2 linked regions of the Arabidopsis thaliana genome follow. The protein of the gene in region 1 interacts with the protein of each later gene in a biochemical or structural test. Each region holds a gene or a part of one and is shown on either strand. Other genes may lie near its edges. The genes, in order: ANN5 and ACT1.

Region 1 (4,045 bases):
TCAAGATGGTTCTAATCAAAACATAGGTTTTGATGTTTGCGTTGCGAGGTTGCATCTTCTTGGTTTTGATGTACATAGCTTACAAGGCGAAGATCATTCTACGGATGCCTCTGAACAACTTATGGGACCACTACAATTAGCTAAAGGAGGAAAGTTACTCACCCGAAAATTTGCCAACATTCTTCATGCTCTTCAGGTACTTTTCTCTTTGACATTCACATGAGTTTCTTCGAGGTCGTTAGTGATTAGTTGATATAGTAAATGTCTTGTTAAACGGGCTTCCTTTCATCATATATAATCAAATGCTTATTTCTTCTCTTTTGCTGGATAATAGGTTGTTCAGTTCTACCATTGGAAAGCTTCTGAACTCGTAACTTCTAATGTCGAAAATGACACATTAGAAGAGGTGAAAGCTATGTCCCACTCTCAGTTGGAAACTATCAATGCCCTGAAATCAGTTTTCCTGCTAGATGAGAACCTCGTAGCCACAACTTTTGGATATTCGTGCTCTGGTGAGGATCGAAAGGATTCACTCGACTTGACGGGTATAGCTCTCGCGGTTACCTCTTGGGAAGAGTATAGCTGTAAGTTACTCAAGGAGCTATTATCATCCTTGCCTCAATGGAAAACTTATCAAACTATACACAAAGTGGAATCTGATTAGAAATGAATTCTGAGTTACTGTTGAATTGAGTAGTTAACAACTTGAAAGTGATTCTCTTGGCTTCAAAGAACAGCTTCTCAATTATCTCTTTGTTTGATCTTACACATAATCATGTTATAATATCCTTCAAGATTGTTGCAAGTAATTTTGTAAGATACAGAGAATCAAAGTTAATTTTGGGATTGGATACAGAAAGAGATCTCAAACGTTGGGGCCTAAAAGAGAGAGGAGAAAAGTCCTGTAATGACTAGTTGTATCAGAATGAACAGCATTGTACAAAGTCTTCTTGTATCTCTTACGGTATTCTGTGATGATGAACTGCATATCCACCTCTGCTCTCGTCACCACGATTCTTATCAACGCCGTGTCATCTGTTCCTAATCCTTTCATTGATTTCCTCAATGCCTGCGCTTTCAGTTTTCGTTTTGTAAACTCGAAACCCTACATTGTTGTCTAAGAAAGGTTAGGTTACGTTACCTTTGCGAAATAGAAACAAGAGTTTTCAGCACATTGTAAAATTGTTAGAAGGACATGCTCGAAGTTCCCGCGAGTCTCATCTCTTATGGCCTATCAAGATTGGAGAAAGAGAAGATCAAGATTTTGGAAATTTTCTGATTCTTGAGTAACAAGTTTCTGGATCTTGATTATATACCTTTCCAAGTTCTTTGCCGTACATGGAACGGTAAGTAGATCTTACAGCGACCAAATGAGTCCTGCTTCGGTCAGTGAATATCTGAATCAACGTCTGGTCATCAGATTTATGCTTCCTTGCAACCGCGCTCTTGAGAGTCCTAGCATCGTTCTCTACACTCGCATTATCGATCTCTGGTCCTTCATATCGCGTAGTGTTCAAATACGCGAGCAAAACCTGTTACATATTACAATTTCTATTACTATTTGAACCAAAAGCATGGATCAAATAGAGAAAACATACTCTTTTGTGATTGCCAGAAGCTTCGGATTCGATGTCCTCTTCAAGTTTCACACCGAAAGTGTTTGAGTAGACCTGTTTGATCTGACGAAGCTGAGAGCCAGATCGTGTGCATATAATCTCAGCAATCGCTTTATGATCAGTCACGGCTCCTCTTAAGGAGCGTTTCAGTATTGAAGCGTCTCGCTCCACTGCTTCAGGCATCCACAAAAGAACGGCTTTCTGAAATCAAAAACGTTTTCAAAATGTTGTCTGCTAAAATCATGAATAAAAGTTTTTTTGTAAGGCTAAGATTTATTTACCTTGAGATGACCATGAAGCTCAGAGTGGAGACGTTTTCGGAGGTCATCCGAGAATTTGGTTTCGTATTCTTGTTCGATGAGAGCTCGTTGTGTTGCATTGCGATGAGCTAAGATGTTGATGATCACCGAAGTATCGCAGCCTCTTCCTGCAAATTGCGAAAATATAAACTAAAATGTAACAAAACAAGTTGTTATAAACTACATAAGAAGCGAATGCGTACGTACCTTTGAAGGCCTTAAAGAGTTGGTCAGCATCGACTCGAGGAGAAGGTACCGTCATTGGTATTTTCATTGTTGCCATTTTTTCTTTCTTCCTCTAAAGATTCCGAAGAAGATATTGTAAAACTCTATACCTTTCTTCTTTCTTTTTTTTGTTGTATTCTCTTGATTTTGTTTTTTCTTTTGTTTTGTTGGTGTGGTGTGATTTGTGGCGATTGGGTTTTGGGTTGAAATATGCAAAGGAAATGGACATTAGACCTTGATTTTAGGAGTTGAATCCTCTGTTTCATTCGTGTAACGATGGATGCTTTGATGCATAAAATTTAACGGATAACATTTTTTAGGATCCGATAGATATCTCTATGTTTCATGATTATCATCAACATAAAGACTTTTATAAGAGTTGTGTAGAGTCTGTAGCCTAGTAAAAGGGGGTTTTCGACTTAATTTCGAAACAATGGGCCAAAACTACAAATTATAAAAAGATCTCCTAAGGTTTATTACTTTCCCCAAATGGATGTTGTCACTTTCGGAATCATAATCGGAATTATCATTCTCTTCTTCTGCATCGTCTGCTTCATCACTATTGAAGGCACTCGCTTCAACCGTCGCTCTTCTTAGCTCACTCAGAGATGTCGTTCTCGCTGAGAAAGCTACTGGTTCCGATTCTGGTTTTGGTACTGTTTCTGGATCTGTGCGTTGAATCCGGATTCTCTCAGTCAACGCCGGCGCGTGACGATCACGTGCATCATCACGGTGGTGGGTGTAGTCATTCTCATGACCACGACCACGACCACGATCATGATCATCATGTGAAGAAGACGACGGCGAAGGTGGAGATGAAGTTGCCGGAGGAGCTTGCTGAAGAGGAGGATATGAGATTATGTGGGTTTGGGCCTTGTCTTCATGATCACGATCACGAATCAAGTTCCACTCTTACGGGGTTTGGTAAATTTGGTTCCTTTAGCTACATTCTTCATTGGGTTTTACAAATCATTACTTGATGATTAGAATCTCTTCTTCTTGTTGGTTTTTGTAGCTCTGTGGCTTAATGCATTGGGATGCTCTCTTTTAGTTAGCTTGGCCTCACTCATCTGCCTTGTTTTGCTTCCCATTATGTTTGGTAAGCAATTTTTTGTATACCTATGAAAACCAAAAAGCATTGCTTTTAATTGTCCTGGAGAAAATGCTCTCTTTCGTTTATTCATGTGCTATAATGTGTTCATGAGAGTAACTGTTTCAAGTCTTATGTTGCAACTAACAGTTCAAGGGAAGCCATCAAAATGGTTCGTTGATTCTTTGGCTCTCTTTGGGGTAAGTCATTAGACTGACTACAGTAGCTTTTTCTTTGGCGGTGGTGGTTCTGAATGCAAGAAAAATATTTTAGCAATATCTATACACTGTGTTTCGTCGCAACTTTATCACTTGGATGAGTTGGAAATGTTAATAATATATGATCTGTTGATTCAGTTAATTTGTTTACCAGGCAGGAGCTATGTTGGGAGATGCTTTTCTTCACCAACTGCCCCATGCTTTTGGTACAGTAATGGACACAAGTTTCTGATCTCTTTTTTAGTATCTGCATTGTTTCATAATTTGGCTTTTATGCCTTCTCATTTTGTTTGCTTTTATATCTTCCTGAAGTGCAAAATATATTTATGGTTTGGCAGGTGGTGGCCACTCTCACTCTAATGATCACCATGAGAACCATGACCATCATGATCATTCTCATTCGGATTCGCCTTCACACTCACATTCTATACAAGATTTGTCTGTTGGATTGTCTGTTCTTGGTAAGTATCATAACACTTCCTCTTGTGTTTATTGAACAAAATATTTTGACAGAATTGACACTTTCAATCATCATTCTTAATTATCCAGCTGGGATTGTGGTCTTCCTTCTTGTGGAGAAGTTGGTGCGGTATGTCG
Region 2 (5,293 bases), on another chromosome or scaffold:
TTGATCGTCATTGTTGTCGTCCTCCACTGCAAATCCGTTATAAACGAGTTGACGTCATCTTCCGGCAAGAAACTCAACCGTCTCCGGCAATACATTGTTCTACCTCTAAACATCTCCGACGAACGTTTCATCGGCGCCGGTGGACATTCTCTAACTATAGGGATTCTATTCTCCGGACGAGTCGGTGTCTTGAACCCATCATTCTCTTCCTCCACAACTTCTTCTTCTTCTTCTTCATCTAATCTCTTCCTTTTCAGACAAATATCCAACACAAGTTTATCGTCGGAACATTCTTCTTCTCTCGTCTCTTTAACACCACCTAACGTTACCTCTTCCTCTTTCAAGCTCGTCTCCGACATACCTAAAAATCTATAAAAATCAAGAAATGGCACCCAAAAAAAAAACTCTTGTTCCTAGATAGAGAGAGAGAAGAGAATGAGAAGAATAAGAAGAAGAAATAATGATTGATCGATGTAGATAGATCCAACGTGGTAAAGAATATTAATCAAGAAAATTGTCAGCTTTTGTTTTTTTATTAAATTATTTTTCAGGTTTATTTATAGTCGGAGATTAGAGCGAGTTTGTTGTGTATTGTTGGATGTGGTAAGGAGAGTCTAAAGGCATACATAACGTAACCAAACCCTCTGATTCATTGAGAAGGAGACATTATTCGACATAATACCGTTACGATAACCATAATATCTCGTCGATAAAGTAATCAAAATATCGCCGATGCCTTTCTGCTTCTCGCAAGTTAAGCACCAAATTGACATCTGCCTTTACGTTTCCAATCTCCATGTGCGCTTTTTTTTCTTCTCAGGAGGAAAAAAATATATTTGTTGCCGTTAGACTTTAATTACGTATCTAACTCATATTTATTACCACCTAATCTTATTGCTAATAACTTTTGTGTATTTATAAGGAGGAGACCCACTCTTATAGTTTTACATTAATGACTTCTATGATCAGTTTAGATAAATATTTTTCCTCAACCGGACTAAATGTATTCTTCTATATATATATAATTAGGATAAACATTTTATGTAAGAAATCTAAATATTGTTTAGTTGAATGTAAGAAAGTTTTTTGGTGTAAATGTTAAGAAATGAATGTAAGAAAGTTTTCTTCCCTATTCATTTTTTTGTCTTAACTTTGGTGATTTCATGATATTTATTTCATTTAAGAATAGGAAATCGCTTGTGAAATTGGAAGCAAATTAAGAAAATACATGATAGAGCTTTTAAAAGTGTGGATGACCTTTCAATACATATTTGCTTGGAGGCGATGGTGAAAAACTGAAAATGACATCAGATACACGCTTGTGAACCATCTTTAAAGTATTGATGGACTCTTCACTATGAAAGCTCTCTTTAAAATTAATTTTCTTTGTACATGTCTCTAAGCAATGTCAAATTAATTAGAGGTCCAAATTCAAAAAAATGTCGTATTGAATCATTCCATTACTAAATTGGTTCAATGTCAGATTTAAACAGCCTAGGGATAATTTAGTGAGATATGAGATTCTACTTTCAACATATACTAATCCTAAATCTCTAGCAACTTTTTATATAAGCTATAAATATCATGAAAATGTATTTTAATCGTTTCATAATTTATGCAGTCACACTAATGGAAAAAAGGCCAATTATTATTATTTTCTTCAGACTATAAATGAAAACATAAATTAAAATGCAGATTAGTTTAAAATTTTAATAAGTAAGTAAAATGCTTATAGCCTTATACAAAATCATATTTGGAAGTTTCTAACATTGTTGCAATTTGTTATCACAAATCACAGTAATATTTGTATACTAATTAGTAATTACAACTATACACAAATTTAAATGGGTAATCATATATTTGTGTCCAGTGGATTGAACAAATATGCTCGGCCCATGCGGAAGTAATGCCAATTTTGGGTGAGTAAAGCCCATGCGAAATTTTCACATAAGAAATGCATGCTTTTTGTTTTCAACGACATGAGTTGCATGCTTTTTATCATTGCTTATATAGTTGCAAGTTTGCAACTCCTTGATATTTTTTTTATGTAGACACTACTACCACCAAAAACTTTTGGTCTGCTTATTCTTGTTTACTATGTAAAAAAAATAAATGAATTGTTTATTTACTCCGATTTGATGGAGTCTGGTTTATGAGGTTTTATAGCCTTTACAGAAAATTGATAGTTACAAAAATATTTTTCAAAAATAAAAGGGTAAAACCGTCATTTCAAGTTGTTATTGTTTTGGGGGACTGGATTTGAAATGAAATATAGAACCGGAAAACAAGGTGAGCCGAAGTCGAAGCCTTTGGACCCGTTTTTATATTTACTCCTCCCATTCCCTTCTCCTTCAATCCTTCCTTCCTCCTCCTCCCTTCTTCTTCTTCCCCTCTTTCATTTTCCAGCCACTACAAACTTTTCTATCTCTACTTTTTTTCCTCTCGATTTCAGGTACTTTTTGAGACCCTTTGTTGTGATTTTCGAACACACACCCCAATTACGTTTGATTTTTGATCCCGCATCGATTTCAATTCATCCGTTTCTGAGTTTCTTTTGGATCTGGGTGTCTTGAGCTAATCTTTTCGATCTGTTGTTTATCGATTTTACTCATGCGTATGTTCATTACACCATTTGTTATTTGTTTAATCAACCAAAAGACTCATGTTTTTCAAATGTCTTTAATATAATTTTTCTGATTGAATTTTATAATATTTACATGATTCTGGATCCAGAATATCCTTCTTCTTCTTCCATTTTGTCCTGTATTGATTTGTCTTTGAAAAAGGATTGTTCTTTGTATCTGTATTGGTGAAAAAGGATTGTTATTTGTTGATAAAAATTTGATCTTTAAACAATGTTTGGTTTTGCATAAAGGTAGAAGAAAATGGCTGATGGTGAAGACATTCAACCTCTTGTTTGCGACAATGGAACTGGAATGGTTAAGGTGTGTCATTCTTTCTCTCTGTTTTTTTTGACAAAAGTTTTCATCTTTTTTTCAATTTTTGATTGATGATCCTCTGAACAATGTAGCATTTGTTTTTTTTTGTTTAAGATGATGATGTTCTTTTGTATTGGAATAGGCTGGTTTTGCTGGGGATGATGCACCTAGAGCTGTGTTTCCTAGTATTGTGGGTCGTCCTCGTCACACCGGTGTGATGGTTGGGATGGGGCAAAAGGATGCTTATGTTGGCGATGAAGCTCAATCCAAACGAGGTATTTTAACTCTCAAGTACCCTATTGAGCATGGAATTGTCAACAATTGGGATGACATGGAGAAGATTTGGCATCACACTTTCTACAATGAGCTCCGTGTTGCTCCTGAGGAACATCCTATTCTACTTACCGAGGCACCGCTTAACCCGAAAGCTAATCGTGAGAAGATGACTCAAATCATGTTTGAGACTTTCAATGCCCCTGCTATGTATGTGGCTATTCAGGCTGTTCTTTCTCTTTATGCCAGTGGTCGTACTACCGGTGAGTGTAGCGCTTTTGTGTCCTTATGGTGTAAAGCTTCGATCTTTGTACATTTTTGCAGAGCAAAACGTAAAGCCTTTCTTGAATTGTGGATGTGCAGGTATTGTGCTCGACTCTGGAGATGGTGTGAGCCACACTGTTCCTATCTATGAGGGGTATGCACTTCCACATGCTATCCTACGTCTTGATCTTGCTGGTCGTGACCTCACGGATGCGCTGATGAAGATCCTAACCGAGCGTGGTTACTCTTTCACCACCACAGCAGAGCGTGAAATTGTCAGAGACATAAAGGAGAAGCTTTGCTACATTGCTCTTGACTACGAGCAGGAACTCGAGACAGCCAAAACCAGCTCATCTGTTGAGAAGAACTACGAGCTACCTGATGGGCAAGTGATCACCATTGGATCAGAGCGATTCCGTTGTCCTGAGGTTCTTTACCAGCCATCTATGATTGGTATGGAGAATGCTGGTATCCATGAAACCACCTATAACTCCATAATGAAGTGTGATGTCGACATCAGGAAGGACTTGTACGGTAACATTGTGCTCAGTGGTGGAACCACAATGTTCCCTGGAATCGCCGACAGAATGAGCAAAGAGATCACTGCTTTGGCTCCAAGCAGCATGAAGATCAAAGTCGTTGCCCCTCCAGAGAGGAAATACTCTGTCTGGATTGGAGGGTCCATCTTGGCCTCCCTCAGTACCTTCCAGCAGGTACACACAGTCCCATCACTTGTTTACTCTAAACAGACCTAAACTAAATCCTAATCACTCTCAGCTTAACTAAACTGGTTCAATTCTGAAACTATGTGTTACCTTGTGCAGATGTGGATCGCAAAGGCAGAGTATGACGAGTCAGGTCCATCGATTGTTCACAGGAAGTGCTTCTGAGTTCAAAGTTGATCATTTTTCAGAGAAGAAGCACCGCCAGGGTTTTTCCGACCATTTCTCAAGCCGGGTTTTTAATCTTCCGTTATTCTGCTCTTTGTTTTTGTTCTCTTATGTTTTGAAATTCATGCCAAATACATTTTCATGGATTTATGGTAATCTGTTTGTAGTATGGTTTAAAATCTAATGCAACTGTGTTTTTGAGTGAATAAGTACACACCTCTTCCTCTTCAATTTTTCAATTATTATGTAACAATTTGTTTTCTGTCTTCTACTTGAATTTACACATGTAAAGATATAAATCGATTTTATTTATAAACCAAAGTGTTGCAGCTGACTAAATCAACATCAAGCTTGAGAAAACAAAGCCATGGATAAACTGAAGTGATAAATGGAACACAAAGGTAAAAGAAACAAATACAAAGCTGAGGTAAGGAACCCAAAAGTCTAAGTAAACATTGGAGACACCCAAATGATCAAAGACAAAAAAAAACAAAAAAAAACAAAAAAAAAACCTTACATTACATTACAAGTTACAACAAAGAGTTTAGGAGACGGTTCAGGGGCGGTCTAATCTGCAACCCATTTGTTGTTCAAGAAACTTGGTGAGTCTGATATGCCTAGAGGTCCATTGATCAGCCAGTTTCTGGTCTTTGGCCTCTGCGTCTCGCCTCAAACCAACGAGCTGTTCTCTGTACTCTCCTTCGATCTTCTCCATTGCGTTCTTCTGCTCTTCCCTAAGAGCTTTCATCTTTGCCTCAATCTCCTCCATCTTCTCCCTTTGTCTACACGTCTTCTCTGACTCTAGCTGCAGCTCCAGCCTTCTTAGCCTCCATGCAGCCTCTTTCTTATGGTCTGCCCAAGCTCGGTGCCCTTCCTCCAACTCTCTACAACACTCCACAAGCTCTGACAAGAACACACTCTCGCTAC

Evidence for each region.
Region 2: the proteins of ANN5 (region 1) and ACT1 form a complex in vitro, tested with the Arabidopsis thaliana proteins (one study listed by BioGRID).

The regions. Positions count from the first base shown.
Region 1 is NC_003070.9:25,518,577-25,522,621, forward strand, and holds ANN5 (annexin 5), read right to left. Parts: upstream 2,320-4,045; 5' UTR 2,199-2,319; coding exon 2,123-2,198; intron 2,044-2,122; coding exon 1,898-2,043; intron 1,818-1,897; coding exon 1,599-1,817; intron 1,533-1,598; coding exon 1,317-1,532; intron 1,232-1,316; coding exon 1,142-1,231; coding exon of another isoform or gene 1,133-1,141; exon of another isoform or gene 1,070-1,132; coding exon 866-1,069; 3' UTR 729-865; downstream 1-728. Other genes in the region: AT1G68080 (2-oxoglutarate (2OG) and Fe(II)-dependent oxygenase superfamily protein), read left to right, coding at 1-196, 335-664; IAR1 (ZIP metal ion transporter family), read left to right, coding at 2,749-3,064, 3,156-3,239, 3,381-3,430, 3,603-3,654, 3,787-3,909, 3,998-4,045.
Region 2 is NC_003071.7:15,776,876-15,782,168, forward strand, and holds ACT1 (actin 1), read left to right. Parts: upstream 1-2,065; 5' UTR 2,066-2,452; exon of another isoform or gene 2,453-2,614; intron 2,615-2,875; 5' UTR 2,876-2,885; coding exon 2,886-2,945; intron 2,946-3,081; coding exon 3,082-3,475; intron 3,476-3,575; coding exon 3,576-4,189; intron 4,190-4,300; coding exon 4,301-4,366; 3' UTR 4,367-4,686; downstream 4,687-5,293. Other genes in the region: AT2G37610 (uncharacterized protein), read right to left, coding at 1-369, 689-798; AS1 (myb-like HTH transcriptional regulator family protein), read right to left, coding at 4,923-5,293. UniProt on the Arabidopsis thaliana protein: Actins are highly conserved proteins that are involved in various types of cell motility and are ubiquitously expressed in all eukaryotic cells.